Linked DNA regions of Arabidopsis thaliana. The protein of the gene in region 4 purifies or fractionates together with the protein of the main gene of each other region. This does not show direct contact. Each region holds a gene or a part of one and is shown on either strand. Other genes may lie near its edges. The genes, in order: PMH1, AT4G38900, AT5G07310 and CDKB1;2.

Region 1 (5,636 bases), on a different chromosome or scaffold from region 4:
AGGAATGTTAGATCGTTGGATGTTCCGCTTTATTGAATCTTTCAACAAGAAGCCGAGTACTAGAGCGTAAACTAGCTGAAACAGAGACAAAACAATGAGAAACAAAAAAAACCAAAGGAAGGAAGAAGAATCTCTCAAATCCCAAAACTTGTATCTGCCTTCTTCAGACAACAACACCCACCAGAGATTCCAGGATTGATGATTACATTACTCAGAAACTCTAGAATCCATGGATATAGTTTTTTTTTGAGTCTCTCTTATGTATTACTCTGATTATCTCTGGTTAAACTAGTAGAGTTAATTTGTAATTTTTATTCACCTTGCTTCCTGGGATTTTAACATTTTTGCATCTTTTCACTTGTCTCAGTAAAAAAACAAAATTATACTGTAGCTCACCGTAAGATAACGTACACTCGTCACAGGTGATCCTGTCCTCACAATTCTCTCTGATTTCGCTTACTCTTTCACTGAAACCCTAATTTGGGGTTTTTCAGATTTCCTTCAATCTCTCGTCGTCATTTCTTCGTCTCACCGTTGAATCTGAAAATGATCGCCGGAGTATTGCGCCGATCTTCACTCCCGTCGAGGCAGACTCTCTCCGCCGCGTTAGCCTCCTTCAATTCGTGTATTTCGCACAATCTCACTCCAGCCACCACCGGAGCTTCCGTCAGCTCTCGATTCACTCTCGCGTCGTCTCCTAACTCGTTTGGCATCAGAGCGAGGAACATCCACATTAGATCTGAGCCGTCGATGATTGTTCCCGCAGGAATCGCGTCACAAGGTTACGCCACTGTCACAAAGGATCGCAAAAACGAGATTAAGAAAGCTAAGATTAAAATTTCTCCAGACAATGTCAGACCATTGAGTAGGAAGGAGATCGCTCTCCAGGTATATGCATTTTTGTTCAAATTCATAGAATATTATTCAAAGTGCTTCATCAGATTCAAATTCGAATAGGAATCGGAATGTGAAATTCATTGAAATGATTTAGAACTGTTGTTTATGTTGTTGTTGTTGTGTGTTTGGGGTTGAATTGTAGAAAGAGGCAGCAGAAGAAAGCACATCAAAGATAAAAGGAACAAAGATTTGTATAGCGATTCGGTCTTTTGTTAACCCGGAAAAGCAAGCTTGGTGTCTTCCTCCTCACACTCGTAAAGTCGCAATGCCCGATACACGAACTCTGTACACGGTGCTAAGATCGCCTCACGTCGATAAGAAGTCTAGAGAACAGTTTGAGATGAGGTTCAAGAAACGGTTTCTTGTCATCAAAGCTCAGAGTCATGAGTTGAGCAAGAAGCTGTTTTGGTTAAAACGTTATCGTATTCTTGGAGCTCAATATGAACTCCAGTTCCATTGCAAGACCCGTTTGGATATGACTCAAGTGTTAGGCAACATCAATGGCTCCACCACCAATGCTTACTGAGATGGCTAAAGACATCATTTTGTAGAAGTTTCAAGACCCAACCGGGTACTATGCAATAATTTCGAACCTTACGGATCCATGAAACCAGCTTTGCTTCACATCAGATCAAGTAGTTATTTTCTTGCTTAGTATAAACATGTGTTTTTGGACGATTTTGAAAGATACAATTGAGTTTCAGTTACAGTGCTTTCCATTTATTCATTAGCCAATCAAAGTCTTTATACATCACCAAGGATTGAGACACATTTAGACTGCTAAAGGTGTCATTTTGAGAAGTTATAGAAACCTTTGACCCGACCATGGAATGATGTCGAACTTTAAGGATCCAAGAGCTCACATTTTAGGTGTATTCATTCATTAGGCAATTCTAAGACTTTTACATTGTACATAATCACTAATGATTTGAGACATATGGTATAGGTTAATTTGATAGATCTGATTCCGAACCTGAGCTATTGCCAATTTGCCACACTACACAAAGTTACAAAAAACAGAACTCATTAACTCTTTGCTTCACATTCAAGAACACCTTTGGGCTCAAGCAAAAAATAATAATCAACTCTGTTTCCTTACACAAGCTTGCACGTGTAGGAACATACCATACACTCACCCGCAGGTGATTATAACAAAGTTCCCTTTATACCCGCCTTTGATTCTTCTTCTTAAATCTCTAAACCCTTTTGCCGTCTCCCTAAAACCCTAATTCTCATTTCTGGGGTTTCACATTTCATCTTCACCAGAATCCATCACACTCTCTGAAATCTGAAAATGATTAGCACAGTACTTCGCCGATCTATCCTTGGTACGTCAAGGCGTACTCTCGCCGCTTCGGTGACCTCCATTAACGCAGCTCTATTTCATAACCTTGCTCCAGCCGCCGCCACAGTCTCCGATCTAGCAAATGGAGCTACTAATGTCAAGTCTCTCCCTTCGAATTCGAGCCCTTTTGGTGTTAAAGTGAGAGACTTTCATGTTAAATCTGTACCGTCGGAGTTTAGATCGTCGATTGTTTCTTCTGCGGGATTCGCGGCTCAAGAGTATGCTCCTTCTTATGAGAACGATGGAGGGATTGGAGATTCGGAGAGTGTTGGTAGCAGCGGTGGTGGTGATGGGCTTGCGATAGCTGATCTTGGTATATCTCCGGAGATTGTTAAAGCTTTGAAGGGTAGGGGTATTGAGAAACTCTTTCCTATTCAGGTATATATGATCTTCTTCTCTGTTCCATTTGGTTATAGAGATCAATTAAAAGTTTAGATTTTTTTAACTGAGTTTTTGATGTTTGTGTTTGGTTGAATAGAAAGCTGTGTTGGAGCCAGCGATGGAGGGTCGTGATATGATTGGCCGTGCAAGGACTGGAACGGGAAAGACACTTGCTTTTGGGATTCCTATTATTGACAAAATCATCAAATTCAACGCTAAACATGGGTTTGTGTTTACTGTTATATATAACGATCATTTGTGATTGAGAGATTTGCACTTCCTTTGGTTCTTATGTTGTCTTTTGATGTGACAGTCGTGGGAAGAATCCTCAGTGCTTGGTTTTGGCACCGACGAGGGAGCTTGCTCGTCAGGTTGAGAAAGAGTTCAGGGAATCTGCTCCAAGTTTGGATACTATTTGTCTCTATGGAGGTACACCAATCGGGCAACAAATGAGGGAGCTGAACTATGGTATTGATGTGGCGGTTGGAACTCCTGGTCGTATCATTGATCTGATGAAAAGGGGAGCTTTGAATCTATCAGAGGTTCAGTTTGTGGTTCTTGATGAAGCTGATCAGATGCTTCAAGTTGGATTTGCGGAAGATGTTGAAATAATATTGCAGAAGTTGCCAGCGAAGCGTCAGAGTATGATGTTTTCTGCAACAATGCCAAGTTGGATCAGATCTCTCACCAAGAAGTACCTGAACAATCCTTTGACAATTGATCTTGTGAGTAGTCTTATACCTGCTTGTGTTTATATCTTAGAATTGCTGTACAAATTGCAAATATTGATCTTGGCTGTAGCAGTGTAGTTAATGAAGTGACATTTTTTAATGACACATGTACTCTTATGTAATTTAGGTTGGAGATTCAGATCAGAAACTTGCAGATGGGATTACTATGTATTCTATCGCTGCAGATTCTTATGGAAGAGCATCCATCATTGGTCCTCTTGTAAAGGTATGTTTTCTTTACTTTGCTTTTAAGCCAATTATCTGTATCTTGTTTTGATTCTTCATTTTTGTTTCCAGTCGTGATTTTATAACATCTTCTCCTTTACAGGAACATGGCAAAGGAGGAAAATGCATTGTCTTTACCCAAACAAAACGTGATGCAGATCGCCTTGCATTTGGATTGGCAAAAAGCTATAAATGTGAAGCTTTACACGGTGACATATCTCAAGCTCAGAGAGAAAGAACACTTGCTGGTTTCAGGGATGGGAATTTCAGTATTCTTGTTGCAACTGATGTTGCTGCCCGTGGACTTGATGTACCTAATGTCGATTTAGTGAGTGAAAACAATACCTTTTCTTGCGCTTAACTAGTTCTGTTTCTCATTTTATTAACCTGTATTGTGCTTTGTGTACAGGTAATTCATTATGAGCTTCCTAATAACACGGAGACGTTTGTTCACCGAACGGGGCGAACTGGTCGTGCTGGAAAGAAAGGAAGCGCGATTCTCATCCACGGTCAAGATCAAACCAGGGCTGTTAAAATGATTGAGAAAGAAGTCGGAAGCAGATTCAATGAGGTTAATATCTTTCTTTACCACCTTTGTATCTTTTGTATGAATAGCTTGGGTAACAAACAGTTCTGAATCTATTTGGTTTTGAATTCAGCTGCCTAGCATTGCTGTGGAAAGAGGAAGCGCAAGCATGTTTGAAGGAGTAGGTGCTAGATCTGGTGGGTCGTTCGGAGGAGGTCGATCAGGCGGTGGTGGGTATGGTAGTTACGGTAGCAGCAGTGGCCGTTCAGGTGGTGGTAGTTATGGAGGTTATGGTGGCAGCAGTGGCCGTTCAGGTGGTGGTGGTGGTAGTTATGGAGGTTCAGGGGGATCAAGCAGCCGTTACTCTGGTGGTTCAGACCGCTCATCTGGTTTCGGAAGCTTTGGTTCAGGCGGTTCTTCAGGAGGATTTGGTTCAGACCGTTCTTCTCAGTCAAGTGGAAGGAGCAGCTTTGGTGGGTTTGGATCAAACGATGGTAAAAGATCTTACTGAGAGAAGTGTTGTGTTGGTTTTGACCCGACTCAGCAATAATGGAGTTGACTTAGGAGAGAACTCGGTATCTCGAGTTGAGTAGTTTACAAGGAGTCGAGCTATATATAAATTCTGTAGCTACTTCTTGTCTCATAAACCAACATAAGTTATATCATTATTTCATATCCTCTAATTCATTTTTATTTCTCAATTTGAGTGAAATGTGTTTCCCTTACTTCGCCACTTCCATTTATGAATCTTGTTAGATTGTGAGAAAAGGAAATAATGTGGTTGATCAAAGATTCAAATCATCCCTAGTTTTGATTTCTTGTTAGATCTTGCAAGTTTTTGGTAGAACCATACACAAGAAAAATTGTTTTAAGCTTTAATTCTCATATCTGACCAACAAAAATAAAACACAGTCGACAATTATTGTTCACTACAAAAAGCATTACTCTTATGTTTCACAACTAATTAGCCTTCATTTCGCAAAACTTGATGCACTGCATAGCAAGAGCATGCAACTAGCTGCTGAACGAAAAGGCTTGGCTCTGCATAGCTAGCATAATAATACCAAGCTCCTTGGGTGTGATCCCCTTTGCAGTGAATCCAGATTTAGTTTCATCCAGTCTTATAGGCCCAAGAACGGGTTCTTGTACACATACTTGGTGATTCTGAGGGTTACAAAGCTGAGATCCCATAAACGTTGAAAGGCGTTCAGGTGGTGGTATAAGAATCATTGAGATGAGTAAAACAGTCAACACCACCCACAAGGGCATGCAAATCAATGGTAGCCATCTCAACACCATCCCCCAGCTTCTCCATTTGGAGACATTTTGAAAAAAACTCAAGAACGGCGCCTGTACAACCGTCAACACTCATCCACAGCTGATCTGAAGTCAGTAATACTCTGGAAGAAGTATCAGTTTTGAACATTTTAAAAATTGATATTTACGATTTTTTTCTTTTTAGGGTGTTAAGGAATGGGGATTATCGACAAACAAGTGATGAATCAGATTATTAACAAAATATGGCATTTGT
Region 2 (5,098 bases), on a different chromosome or scaffold from region 4:
AGAGCATAAATTAATCCCTCCTGTTCTAAACTCTCTCTCATATCCAATGGTTTCAGTTGCCAAAAAAACTAGTTCTTAAAACATAGATAGATTCGAAGCTATACATACAAGCACCGATGTGATTCGAATCAATACCTCGCGGCGTTCCCGTTTCAGTTGTCGTTTAGATTTCTTCTCCTGAACCAAACCCGATTGAGGCGCCCTAACATCGGCGGCATCATTTTGCTTCACGGAACGGCTTGGAGGAGGAGGACAAAGGAACTCCTTCTTAATAGGAGCCATTGATCGTTCTATAAGCTCTTCCGAAGTCGCTTCATACACAGAGAACTGTTTCGTCGATTGAACCGGTAACGCAGCCTTTGCATCTCCTTCAACACTAGTATCCACCGCGTGCTCCGCTATTACATCTGACATAGCGGTCAAGCTCCGTCGTCACGAAAATGAAGTGAGTGATAGTGTTTGTTAGGGTTTTAGATATTATTCACAGAGAGAGACGAAGAAGGCAACAATGTTTTGGGATGCTGTTTAATGGGCCAAAAACCGGCCCATAATGTTAAAATAAACAAACCAACAAAAAGAGACAGAATCCAAGACTAAATTAAAAACTAAAAACAAAACAAACAGAGAATCTTTTTGTCTGAAGCTCAATCAATCCCATTACATATAACTTGTGTTCATAGTTCATACCTATATCTACTATAAATTGAATTTTTTCTTTCTAAGATAACAACATATTGTAAAATTAAATTTCTTGGACTTATATGATATATATGTAAATTCAACTGACTCTGCACATAAATGAAATATAATGTTTGATTTGATATGTAACTTGTTGAAAAACTCCAACCCTTTGATCCACCGCAACAACTTCTCTGCTCTATTCATTTGATTCAGATTTTGTTGCCATGGTTCCATTCTGGTGGTTCTGCTGATGAGACTGTTGCTGCATCTGTTGTGGCTGCTGTCTTAACTGGCTGATGTTGAGTTGCTGGAACATCTCAGCGTTGAGTGATTGCATCTTTGATCTCTCTGATTCGTTCTGACTGCTCTCACCGATTGCCAGTTTCAGTCGCTGGACTTCTCCATTCAGTGCTTCGTTCAGAGCTGCAAAGCGGGGGAAAAAAATCGTCATTTCACATTCGTTAAGCGCAAAAATGGAGATTTTTTTAAAGCATATAGGATCTGGTTCCATTTTTTGTTAAAGTCATGTTAATAATATCGTAAATTTGATACAATGTGAAGAGAAATGTATACCATCGCGAAGACGCGCTTGTTGCTCCATTGCTTGAAGCCGGAACTTAAGCTCATTGTTCTGATTTGTCAACCCCATCATATCGCGCTGGATAATGCAGTAACTAAGATCGTTAGAACAAAACAAAAATTGACCAATCTAGGCGCTTTTATAACATTGTAAACAACGCACCTGCAAAAGTGTGAGCTGAGCAGACAATGTGGTAGCCTCGGTCTGAAGAGTCTGCACTTTGTGTTCCAATTCTACTATGTACCGCATCTTCCTCTCCTTTGACCGTGCTGCGGATTGACGGTTCGCTAAGATTCTGAAAAGAGGATCATTCCTTAAACATCAGAATATTTGATTATAAACCGGTAATGTTAGTCAAGATTCAATATTTGTACCTTTTGACACGTTTAGGGTCAGACATGGCCATCTCTGCTAGTTTATCATTTGCCATGATCTTCTTCATTTCCGCTGCAGTAAACTCACCGTTATTGAACTCGATGCTAAAAGCAGCACCCGAGTTCCCATCAACCGAATTGGTAGGGGAAACTTTCCTTGACATAGATCCAGGAGAAGGAGGCGGCTTTAGAGATTCATCACCAAAAGACAACTTCTCCATGAAACAACTGTCCACTGAAACACTCCTGTAATGTCTGGTGGTAGGAGCAATATCTCCTCCAGCCGCTCTTCTCTTCACGCTCTCTCTCTTTTCACCAGAAGAATTCATATTATTATTGGCACTCTCATTGACACTGCTGCTCTCTCCTTCCGTATCACTACCGTTAGTCTTGGTCCCGCTTGCTCTGCTGCTCTCCATATCATCCCTATTCTCATTACCGTTCTTGCTATCATCAGCTTCAGAGGAGTTCAACACATCAATGTTTTCAAGATTCATATATGCTGAGAAGAGATCATCCATAGCTTCTCTCTCTCCGACACCTTCCCTTTCGCAGCTCGATTCCTTCTTCACAAAAGGATTAGACTTTGACCAATCAGCACACTCCCCACCAGAAAAAGACCTCTCCAATGGTCTCGGAGGGATCAAAGGCATCGAATTAAACCCACTGGGGATATCACTGTTGGAGCGTCTATGAGACTTTCTCGGAGGTAAACTCTCACCGACTCTCAAGGAGCTAGAAGAGGTCGAATTACACCTCGTGAACGGCGATGGAGGCAACGAATGGTTGCTGTTAAACACGCCGGAATCTCTATCCTCCATTGAAACATCGTGATCTCGAAACGGAGAAGGGCTTAACGGAGGTAAGGAGTCAAAAGAGAAGAAAGAGTTGGGCTGTGACATTGACCGTGAATGATTAGCTCCTCCCGGGTTAAAATTATGCGAACCGGGTTGTCGGGTGGTCGGGATCTGAGAAAACGGAGAAGTCGGTGGGATTAAGTTGGGGTGCGACGGAGGAACACCGATTCGTTTGCCACTGTCACTGAAAGGCTTGGAGAATTGAGGAGCTGATGAGCGGATGAAATTAGGGTTTAAATCGAGCTGAGAAATGGGATTTTTGGGAATGGAAGAAGAAGTAGTGCCGAAAGATGAATGAAGTCTCTGGATCATATCACTGTTACACTTCTCTGTATCACCCATTTTAGATCGGATAATGCAGTTTCTAATTCTCACCACTCTCCAATAACTAGAGAAAACCCCTAAAAGATCAAGCTTTGTGTAGAACTAACCTATCATCAAAAAAGAATCAATGATGAGAAGAAAACAAGCATCAAAGTTTTCAAAAGAATTTGACAGAAAAATCAGAGCTTTGGAGAGTAAAATGCAAGTTGGTGGTTACCTCTAACTTCAACGCACTTGAATTAATCAATGGCGCAAATGGCGAGAACGTATTTTGAAGAATGACAAAATCTTTTTTTTTTTTTCTCTCTGTCTCTCAACGTTGAATTAAGAAACTTATCTAATCAATCTTCTTCTTCTCTCTCTCTCTATAGAAATTGGAGAATCACAGAGCCATTTTCTCTTTCTTTTCTTTTTTCCTCCGCAATTTTCTCTCCCCTTTGATTTTTTTTTTCTCGAGAGAGAATAGTAAAAAAAAACTCGATAGAGACGACGACTTTTTTTTTTCTTTTTTGACACGAGCAAGACAGTGTAAACTCTAAAGTAGTACTAGTAACAAAGAAAAACAAAAGACACGGATTTCATGAGAAGTAAGAGAAAAAGAAGAAATATAAAAACACCCAACAAGACGCGTGAATTTACCACAACCTCCCAAGATTTTCTATTTAATGCAATTCTATCCAAAACTTTATATAAATTTGGATTTGTTATTTTTTAGCCATTTATTTCAAATGTTTTTTTAAGTAAAAATCTGTGTATATTGAGTATCAAATACGAATTTAACATATATATTCCTCATTCATATGATTACATTGTATATATATACGGTTATTTTTTGGATAAAGATCTAAAACTTGTTTAGTTTCACAATATTACTGGTTTGACAAAATGAATTTTAGGAATAATATTCTTTGTCATCCGAAATGGAAGTTAAAACCATTTAGCGAAAATGTTTCTTTTTATTTTTGATGATTTGAATATGGATTTGAGATTCAATTCTATTCCGACCACAATTGACATTCTTGTCTAGACGAAAGATTCTGTCCTCCTTATGTTGTCATGTACAATGTAAAAAGCCATTCTTTGTATTTTCTTTAATTATGCCTCTCTTACTTATATATTTCTTTAAATAATATGTAATGGACCGCCATATTGAATGATTTGTTCCCGACTTATTTGTCTACACCAATAATTTCTTTGTTTACGAATTTTAGAGATCGTCTGTGTTGATCTCGTGCTTCATCGTTTATTTATGTAAGGACGATGACAGATAGGTTCGTTCATTTTGGTGATTAATCTATCAACCGTTTCAAGGCTTGGTGCAAAAATGTTCTAAACGGTGGTAACCAGAGTTTACAATCTTTGTAAACAATTTCTAAGATCTAGATTTCACCTATCAATATAATTATATACTTCATTTGCTTTTAATTAGATGAACCCCACCACACAACAAATATTGACTCTTTATAACCACCTCCCTCCATGTTTCTCGTAAATATCTACATATCATTATTTGATTCTACGATTATAGTATTTTACTAGGTGTTTAGTCGCACTACCCGCGGTTTGTTGCGTCAATTCTTTTTATTTTAATTTTTTAAAAGAAATCAAATTACAATGCACGTTTTAAGAAATTTTCTATTTTTGTAAAAAAATTCAGTTTCAAATATAGATTTGACATCAAAATAATCAAAGATAACCAATGATTTTCTTATTTAAATGAACTACTAGTATTTTTGTTCCTTAAGAAATTAATAGAAGACATAGAACAGCGTGTGAAAATGATAATTGAAAGTCGTAATTAAGGTGTTAAATCACGTGGATTAAGTCGTAGTCATATCATAAATGGTCGTGTTACAATTAATTAACAGGAACCGAATAACATCACTATACTGGAGTATTAACGAAACTATAATGCACGTTTTAAAAATCAAACCACGGTGGTTTAAGAAATAAAATTGTTTGATTGAGTAATTATGTAAAGTTTGTATGTGCAACGGATATGATCTACCGATCTAAACGTGGGCCAAACATATTAATCAGATTAATATAAGTGGGGGCAGTGTTCGTCTTGATCACGTTTGAATTAATTTCACAAACAATATTATGCCTGCATCACAAATTAAGAGTTTAGAGCAAATTTTTATTTTGGCTTTCGAGAAATTCATGTATTTTATTTGGTATACGTATCTTTATAATTCTCGGCAAATGCAAATGCTACAACATCCATAACCATGCACATCCAAAGTTTGGAATATTACATTCTCCTATAAAACGAATATACT
Region 3 (3,865 bases), on a different chromosome or scaffold from region 4:
TTATCATAAAATTGAAAGTAAATTTTTTAAAAAAGTTGTCAAGCCGTTTTATGCAAAAAAGATTTTTTTTTTAAAAAAAAAATTTACATTATGTGACGTCGTTAAACTCATTTTCCCTGCTTGGCAAATTCACAAAATGTTGTTTCTTCGTTCTCGTCAACAAATCTGAAAATACCTACACATGCCATGTGTATATCCTGTTTTAAAGTTTAATTTTTTCATTTAAATTCAAATTCATTGACATGTCGTTGTAAGATACTCTCAACCTTTTTTCTATCAGATTGACTTTCTTATTAAAAAAGTCACTTTCTTTTCTCGTAATCTTAGCTATATAATGTCATTTTTGTATAATTTAGACGTAGAAAAGTTGGCTAATTTAATAGATCATAATAATATCAAATCATATTTATCCATAGTCAAATGAGTACGTTATACATCCTGAACAGCAATCCTGAACAGAAATTATTTTTTCGTCGTCCCGTCAAAACGTGTTATCCTACGTTTTATCAGATGCCATGCTATATGTTATGTTTTTATTTCAATGTATTTATAATCAAGTTTGAATATTACATATTTTTTACTTTAATAGTTAATACATTACAAAGAAACAAAAAAAGCATGTTGCTTGTTGTTGAGAAAGAATAACAAACAAACACATGTGTCATGTGTGCCACGTGCAAACATGACTAAAAAAAGACAACAGTTTCTCGATTGCAACTCTCTTGGTTTCTTTCCTACTTCCGTAATGAGAAAAAAAGCTCTGTCTATACCTAAAAAAAGTTATTTCTTAGAATATCAAAAGCTAGATTTTAGGAAATTAAATATTTGAGATCAACAAATATCGTTAGTTGTGAATTGCGACTTGTCAAGGGCCCATACAAAATGTTTTTTTTTTTGTGTGTGTGAGCATATCCTTATAATAATTTGTTTGTTTAATACCAAAATGGTGCTTTAAATGTTAATATATTACTGTAAACTTTCCCTAGATCCACTAATTTTTCTTTTTATCGTTTATTAAAAAACATTAATAGTAATCTAACCCGTTATCTATATATACATTTTAAGTGAGTATGAAAATTTACTCCAATTTTGATCTCCTGAATTGTGATAATCTTATCTCTTTTTTTCTTTCTAAAACTTGAATCTTGGACTTGGTGTTTGCATGTAAAAATGTTTTTTCATTACTCATTTAACTGAACTATTTCTAGATATAGATGAAATTAGAAATCCTCTTCGAATTATCTATCAAAAGTAGAAAGAGCCTCAATAACAACATTTCACACGTTTTTACTTGAGTTAGTGATCAATGTGTACACATTTCTCGAATATAACTAAATTTGTCTTTCAATCTCTATCCAAATATTTTATAGGGGAGAAAAGACCCCACTCTCGCGTAACGTAAACTCCTTTTCTATATCACAACATATATGTAAAACAATTTGATTATTTTCTTATTCCTTAACTTTTCCAGAGAATGTCGGTTTATAGTTATACACGAAGAATATCTATGTTTCTTTGTATTTAAATCAAACTTCCAAAAGAATATAATTATTTTTCTTTTCTCTTCTTCGATTCCATGCATGTTTTCTCAAAAAAGCAATTAAACAGAATATGTATATATGCATGCACTCCTTCTTTATTTTTTTCTTTTTGTCATCTTGGAGCTTTACATAGCGTTCATATTATTTTACATTCTTCTATTAGAGCTTTTCTACTAATCTTTATTGATATCCATTTCTTAACTTGTTCAGATTCACACGTACACATTTTTTGCAATAATCAAATCAAAAAGCTTTTTTCACGCGTCTCTACAGTTTTAGCAGGGTACACTGATATAGTACATGATTTTCTATATCGAAAATTACAATAGCTAGAAAAATATATAATTTTTTTAAAAATATGCAAAACTTCTGCTTGACGTTAAATTTTGTTTTGTCATTTGTCTTATGTTCACACAGACGAAAAAGCTTCTATAAAACCGTCAAAATAGCTCACCCCTAAAACCCTAATTATATATTCCCTCTTTCATTCTCCTTCTTCGTCTTTTCTTTGTTTCTCATATTCAAGACATCCTCAATTCCAAATCTTAAACCCTAAATTTACAGACACAATCGAGATCACCTGAAAAAAGAGGTTTAAAGATTTTAGCAAAGATGGCGAATTCAGGAAATTATGGAAAGAGGCCCTTTCGAGGCGATGAATCGGATGAAAAGAAAGAAGCCGATGATGATGAGAACATATTCCCTTTCTTCTCTGCCCGATCCCAATATGACATGCGTGCCATGGTCTCAGCCTTGACTCAAGTCATTGGAAACCAAAGCAGCTCTCATGATAATAACCAACATCAACCTGTTGTGTATAATCAACAAGATCCTAACCCACCGGCTCCTCCAACTCAAGATCAAGGTATATTTACATATATAGTTGACAAATTAGTTACCATATTTATGGGATGATATATGTGAATGAAAAAATGAGCATAATGTTTTATAATAGCAGTTGAATTTGTGCTCTGGACGACGAATATATCCATGTAGTATATATGAGAAATATATCAAGTATATATACGAATGTTTTCTCTTGTTGATTAGGGCTATTGAGGAAGAGGCACTATAGAGGGGTAAGACAACGACCATGGGGAAAGTGGGCAGCTGAAATTCGGGATCCGCAAAAGGCAGCACGGGTGTGGCTCGGGACATTTGAGACTGCTGAAGCTGCGGCTTTAGCTTATGATAACGCAGCTCTTAAGTTCAAAGGAAGCAAAGCCAAACTCAATTTCCCTGAGAGAGCTCAACTAGCAAGTAACACTAGTACAACTACCGGTCCACCAAACTATTATTCTTCTAATAATCAAATTTACTACTCAAATCCGCAGACTAATCCGCAAACCATACCTTATTTTAACCAATACTACTATAACCAATATCTTCATCAAGGGGGGAATAGTAACGATGCATTAAGTTATAGCTTGGCCGGTGGAGAAACCGGAGGCTCAATGTATAATCATCAGACGTTATCTACTACAAATTCTTCATCTTCTGGTGGATCTTCAAGGCAACAAGATGATGAACAAGATTACGCCAGATATTTGCGTTTTGGGGATTCTTCACCTCCTAATTCTGGTTTTTGAGATCTTCAATAAACTGATAATAAAGGATTTGGGTCACTTGTTATGAGGGGATCATATGTTTTCTAATTGAGTTTTTTTTTGTATTTGTATTTTTCATTATGCGTGTGTTTTTGTTTGTGATCACTTTGTTTACTTCTTTCAAGAGTTTTTCATGGGTTCTTTGTTTGTAACCCTTGCATTTGGATTTGTTTTAAGTTTTTTTTTTTTTTTTTTTTTTTTTTTGGGTGGGGTAATTCGTTTTGTATTAAAGAAGAAATTATAAATACACAAGAGTGTTACCCTTTAAATTTATTGGAGTTCCCCCAAACAAACACACATGTAGACACATAAAATTATAGCATTAATAACTGCTAAATTCCGAATTGCGTTGTTATGTGGCCATTATATTGCCAACGCAGATATAACAAACCAAAGCTTTTTATTTATTGAATGAAAATACATTTTCTACCGTGTATCTTACAAGACATAAGGCAAAGTAGCATACCTACATGACAGTACTAATAACATCTGTTGAGAGTCGTTTAGTTTTAATATTTTTCGTCCCGTTTTCTTGGACTAAGATGACAGCCTTGATTTAAGTAATTATATATCAAGTTTATACATACACAATTTCCTTTCCAATTTTATTGGACTGTTTTGGGGGATCTCTTCAGTCAGTTTGAATTCAAAAAATTACTACGTGCGTGTAATAGTTTATGGCCTGGTTATTCGAAAACACCGTAGACTTTAGTTAGA
Region 4 (3,982 bases):
CTTCTTTGGCATCCAGACTGTAACACAAACAATATCTACATAACAAGCGATCAAGATCTGATCATCTCATATTGCAAGGCAGATACTGAAGATCAGTGGATAGAAGGAAATGGTAAGTAGACTCATCATCCACTCTTCAAATCAAGAAACCTCATGGTCTGATTTTGTTTTGCTATTGAGACATTGTCGTGATTTTGGTTGTTGATGTAGCGGGGTCGATTAACATAAGCAATATCTTGACTGGTAAATGCTTAGCTAAGATAAAAGCAAATAATGGTCCTCCTAAGGAAGAGGACTGCAGCAGTAGTGATTTGGGGAATTCCTCTCGAAGGAGAAGTGCGGTTGCTGAGGCTTTGGAAGACATAACCGCTCTCTTCTACGACGAAGAACGGAATGAAATATACACAGGAAACAGACACGGCCTCCTCCATGTCTGGTCTAATTGAAGCTACTCATCATTTGTTTTGTTTTTTTTACATTAATACAAGAGATCTCTGTATCTTGTTCTGTTTCTCAATTGTGTAATATCATGAGATATGTAATTTACTTGTGTGTTTGAGTAGCAATTGTCGTTGTAATGAAACAGCAAATATTTCAAATTCGTCTCTCATTTATGTACACTAATGATTTGTCTGCTTAATAGGGTTAACCATTTTTGCTTTGATAGACTTGTTTACATGAACAAATAAAATTGGCCACTTAAAGAAGATTCTCTCACTCTCGCTGAACAAACAAGGTTTTCAGATTGTTTAGTTTAAGTACAAATCTTTCTAAAGCACACAGCATAAGACACCAAGACAATAAACTTGAGCCATCAGCTTCAGAACTCCAAAGAGAAGCCTGATCAGTAATTTGGCAGAGGTCAGAACTGAGATTTGTCAAGGCTGTCAAAGTAGGGATGATCGAGAGCTGCTTTTGCTGAAATTCTTTCTGCTGGATTGTACTTCAACATTTGCTGCAATTGTTCAAAGGTTCAAAACAAATTATCATCAACTAGGAACGAACCCCAACAGAAAGAATCTACTAAAGAGATCAAGTATGCAAGAGAATCTTAGGCCACTTCTCCAACAATGGTCATATTTTAGAAAAGAGCATTACCGTGAGAAGATCAATTCCTTCAGGAGATAGAGATGGAACAGCACGTGATAAGTCTTGCGGCTCCCACTTTGGATAGACATGCCAGTCACGCAATGCCATTACACCCGGCCATTGCTGCTCAGTTGGTGTTCCTAACAATCTCCAGAACCCAAAACAAAACCATACTTCAGATATATTGATACTAGACAGTCCCCATAATCCAAATGAGTTCACGAGTACTGAACCTAATGGGCTAAAGTCCTAAACTGGTTCCTGTATACATACACATTGGCATCAAAAACAAGAAGCAAATACCTGAAAATATGAAGTAGTTGCTGAAACTCAGAATCACCAGGGAAAAGAGCTTGCCTCCTAATCATCTCGGCTACAAAAAAATGGGGAAACATCAGTAATCCAAACAGTAGAACAAAAGACCATTAAAAGAGACATAGTAGCTGATTACTAACCAAAGATGCATCCAACAGACCAAATATCAACAGCAGTAGAGTAATGAGTAGAACCAAGCAAAACTTCAGGAGCTCTATACCAAAGAGTAACAATCTCATGTGTATAAGCCTTAAGAGGCACAGTAAAAGCACGACTAAGACCCAAATCAGCAATCTTAAGAATCCCTTTATCCTTATCCAATAGAAGATTCTGCGGTTTAAGATCACGGTGAAGCACACCATGGCTATGACAATGAGCCACACCTTTAAAAAGCTGAAACATAAACCTCTGCACAAGAGAAGCCTCAAGCGGTCTAGGATTCGAGCCCTTTCTATGAGAATCTATAAATTTCTTGAGATCAGTGTCGAGATACTCAAAAACGAGATAGAGATTGGATTTGGGAGAGTGAGAAACAGTCGAATCTTTCGATTGAATAACATGTTCGACGCAGAGGAGACGAACGATGTAGATTGATTGAGAAAGCATTTGGAGAAGAGAGATCTCACGGAGAGCCGTTGGTGGTATACCTTCTTCGTCCATTTCGAGCCTAGTTTTCTTCAGAGCGACGAGTTTTCCGGTGGTTTTCTCCATTGCTTTGTAGACTTTTCCATAGGTTCCTTCACCGACCTTTTCGAGCTTCTCGTATTTCTCCATTGATGGAGGATTTTGAATTGAGACTGATGAATGTTTTTTGTTTGGGTCTTATAAACCCTAAAGCCCCTTTTCGATTTTAGATCTGGTAAATAAAGGCGCCTCTTTGCTATAACGTTTAACATTTGAATCCCTCGCACGCTTCACACGTACCAATAATATTTTATTAGTCAAAGACTCAAAGTCATTTTAAACAGATAAGTATAGTATAAGATATTTGCTTGATTATGTTTATAGATTTCAATTCATTATCCATGGTGAATGTTTAGTTGAATGAATCTATGCATGATCTTTGATGTAAAGCCGGCCCTGAGTACAAAAAGCTAAGCTCATGCTTGCAGCCACAACCCATAATAAAGATTTTTCAGTCATTTATTTTGCTAAACTATTAATATTACTTGAAGAGTCGATCATTTCGCATTAATTGGTTGAAACTTCGAGCTTTTCCAACTTCATTTTAACTTTAATCTAGTATTTAACATACTAATTAATAAGACTATAACTGTTTTAGCTTGTATCCCATTAGTTTTCTCCTTATACGTTAATGTTCAATGTTTGGCACAAACTCAAAAAAAGAATTTCTTACTACGTAGTTTTTTTTCACTTACTCAACCAATTGGAAAAATGTTTAGGTTTGATTTTTTGTGTTCGAATTTGTAACTTCAATTATTTTGGGACTGTGAACTCTTACTCATTATTCATTAATGGTGGGTTGTTTCTTGTGTTCTAGGCTTCTAGTATACATGATTCAACTTCATATGATATTGATTCAGTTTCACATTTTTGATTTATTTCAACTTTATATTCTTCTTACACTCATTCCAATTTCATGTATGGTAATTGCATCAGTTTTGATCGATAGTTACATTAAGAAAACCATTTCTTTTTACAATAAAGATACTACAACAACAACAAAAATTCTGACTAGGTCTACGAATGTGCAAGGTATGCAATTTCACAAACTCATAAAAATCATCATAAGAAGTTCTATGTAAAGGGGAAAGAAAAACAAGATTATAAACAAATTGTGTGTTTCATGTGGAAACTAAACAATGGCTGAATATTAAAAAATTATTGGACTACTATACATAAAAGAAAATTACAATAATGAAAAAGAAAACAAAGATAATATTCAATGATAGGGCATTGACTAAACGAAAGAAAATGGCTTAAAGACTTTAAAGTTGATTATGAAAAACCGTTACTGATTTACTAGGGTCAATAAACTTATTTGCAACCATTTTATTAAGGGAATTTAATGAAAAAAACCGTCAGCTTTGGTCAGATCTATTTTTAAATTCTGAACTATGTTTTTAGTAAAACAAACTCTGAACTAAAACCTGTTAATAAACTTAACCCCATAGTAATTAAATATTAATGGGATATTAATTTCCAAAAATCGACCAAAGAACAATGACAGAATCCGTGATCCAACTGAAGATCGTCCACCTCAAAAAGTTCTTTATACACGTGAAAAAGTTTAAATGGTAAAATAGAGAACAATGAATTATGTTTCACAAGATCTTCATTTTCAAATTATTAAATTTAATCTTTGCATATTTAGACTTGCAGCAATTGTCAACAAGTCGGACACAACAAACGTTCATGCAAGTGTAAAGCAATGCCAAAACCACCCAAGAAACCTCAAGGACGACCAAGGAAAAAACAGAAAACAATGGATGAAGAGAACCCTATCACTCAGCCAATACAATCTTCTCTTCAAAGTTAATGCTTGACAAGTCTTTACTTTAGAATATCTTGTCCATCTGAAACGATTGTTTTTTTTTTGTGACAAATATTGTTGTGT

The links.
Region 1: the proteins of CDKB1;2 (region 4) and PMH1 purify together in Arabidopsis thaliana (affinity purification with mass spectrometry, with the first as the bait; one large-scale study listed by BioGRID). This does not show direct contact.
Region 2: the proteins of CDKB1;2 (region 4) and AT4G38900 purify together in Arabidopsis thaliana (affinity purification with mass spectrometry, with the first as the bait; one large-scale study listed by BioGRID). This does not show direct contact.
Region 3: the proteins of CDKB1;2 (region 4) and AT5G07310 purify together in Arabidopsis thaliana (affinity purification with mass spectrometry, with the first as the bait; one large-scale study listed by BioGRID). This does not show direct contact.

Annotation. Positions count from the first base shown.
Region 1 is NC_003074.8:7,885,191-7,890,826, forward strand, and holds PMH1 (putative mitochondrial RNA helicase 1), read left to right. Parts: upstream 1-2,085; 5' UTR 2,086-2,191; coding exon 2,192-2,620; intron 2,621-2,720; coding exon 2,721-2,848; intron 2,849-2,936; coding exon 2,937-3,348; intron 3,349-3,481; coding exon 3,482-3,580; intron 3,581-3,682; coding exon 3,683-3,907; intron 3,908-3,988; coding exon 3,989-4,150; intron 4,151-4,238; coding exon 4,239-4,616; 3' UTR 4,617-4,963; downstream 4,964-5,636. Other genes in the region: AT3G22290 (Endoplasmic reticulum vesicle transporter protein), read left to right, coding at 3-70; RPS10 (ribosomal protein S10), read left to right, coding at 547-888, 1,040-1,423.
Region 2 is NC_003075.7:18,138,687-18,143,784, forward strand, and holds AT4G38900 (Basic-leucine zipper (bZIP) transcription factor family protein), read right to left. Parts: upstream 3,265-5,098; 5' UTR 3,034-3,264; exon of another isoform or gene 2,924-3,033; 5' UTR 2,835-2,923; coding exon 1,636-2,834; intron 1,575-1,635; coding exon 1,424-1,574; intron 1,340-1,423; coding exon 1,255-1,339; intron 1,105-1,254; coding exon 878-1,104; 3' UTR 609-877; downstream 1-608. Other genes in the region: AT4G38890 (FMN-linked oxidoreductases superfamily protein), read right to left, coding at 136-414. UniProt on the Arabidopsis thaliana protein: Transcription factor that acts as a repressor of reproductive development, meristem size and plant growth. Regulates meristem size, cell size and cell number during plant development.
Region 3 is NC_003076.8:2,303,531-2,307,395, forward strand, and holds AT5G07310 (Integrase-type DNA-binding superfamily protein), read left to right. Parts: upstream 1-2,020; 5' UTR 2,021-2,153; coding exon 2,154-2,406; intron 2,407-2,591; coding exon 2,592-3,130; 3' UTR 3,131-3,307; downstream 3,308-3,865.
Region 4 is NC_003071.7:16,150,747-16,154,728, reverse strand, and holds CDKB1;2 (cyclin-dependent kinase B1;2), read right to left. Parts: upstream 2,257-3,982; 5' UTR 2,179-2,256; coding exon 1,545-2,178; intron 1,463-1,544; coding exon 1,393-1,462; coding exon of another isoform or gene 1,323-1,392; exon of another isoform or gene 1,238-1,322; coding exon 1,099-1,237; exon of another isoform or gene 956-1,098; coding exon 863-955; 3' UTR 643-862; downstream 1-642. Other genes in the region: AT2G38630 (Transducin/WD40 repeat-like superfamily protein), read left to right, coding at 1-112, 211-446. UniProt on the Arabidopsis thaliana protein: Together with CDKB1-1, promotes both the last division in the stomatal cell lineage as well as the number of stomata.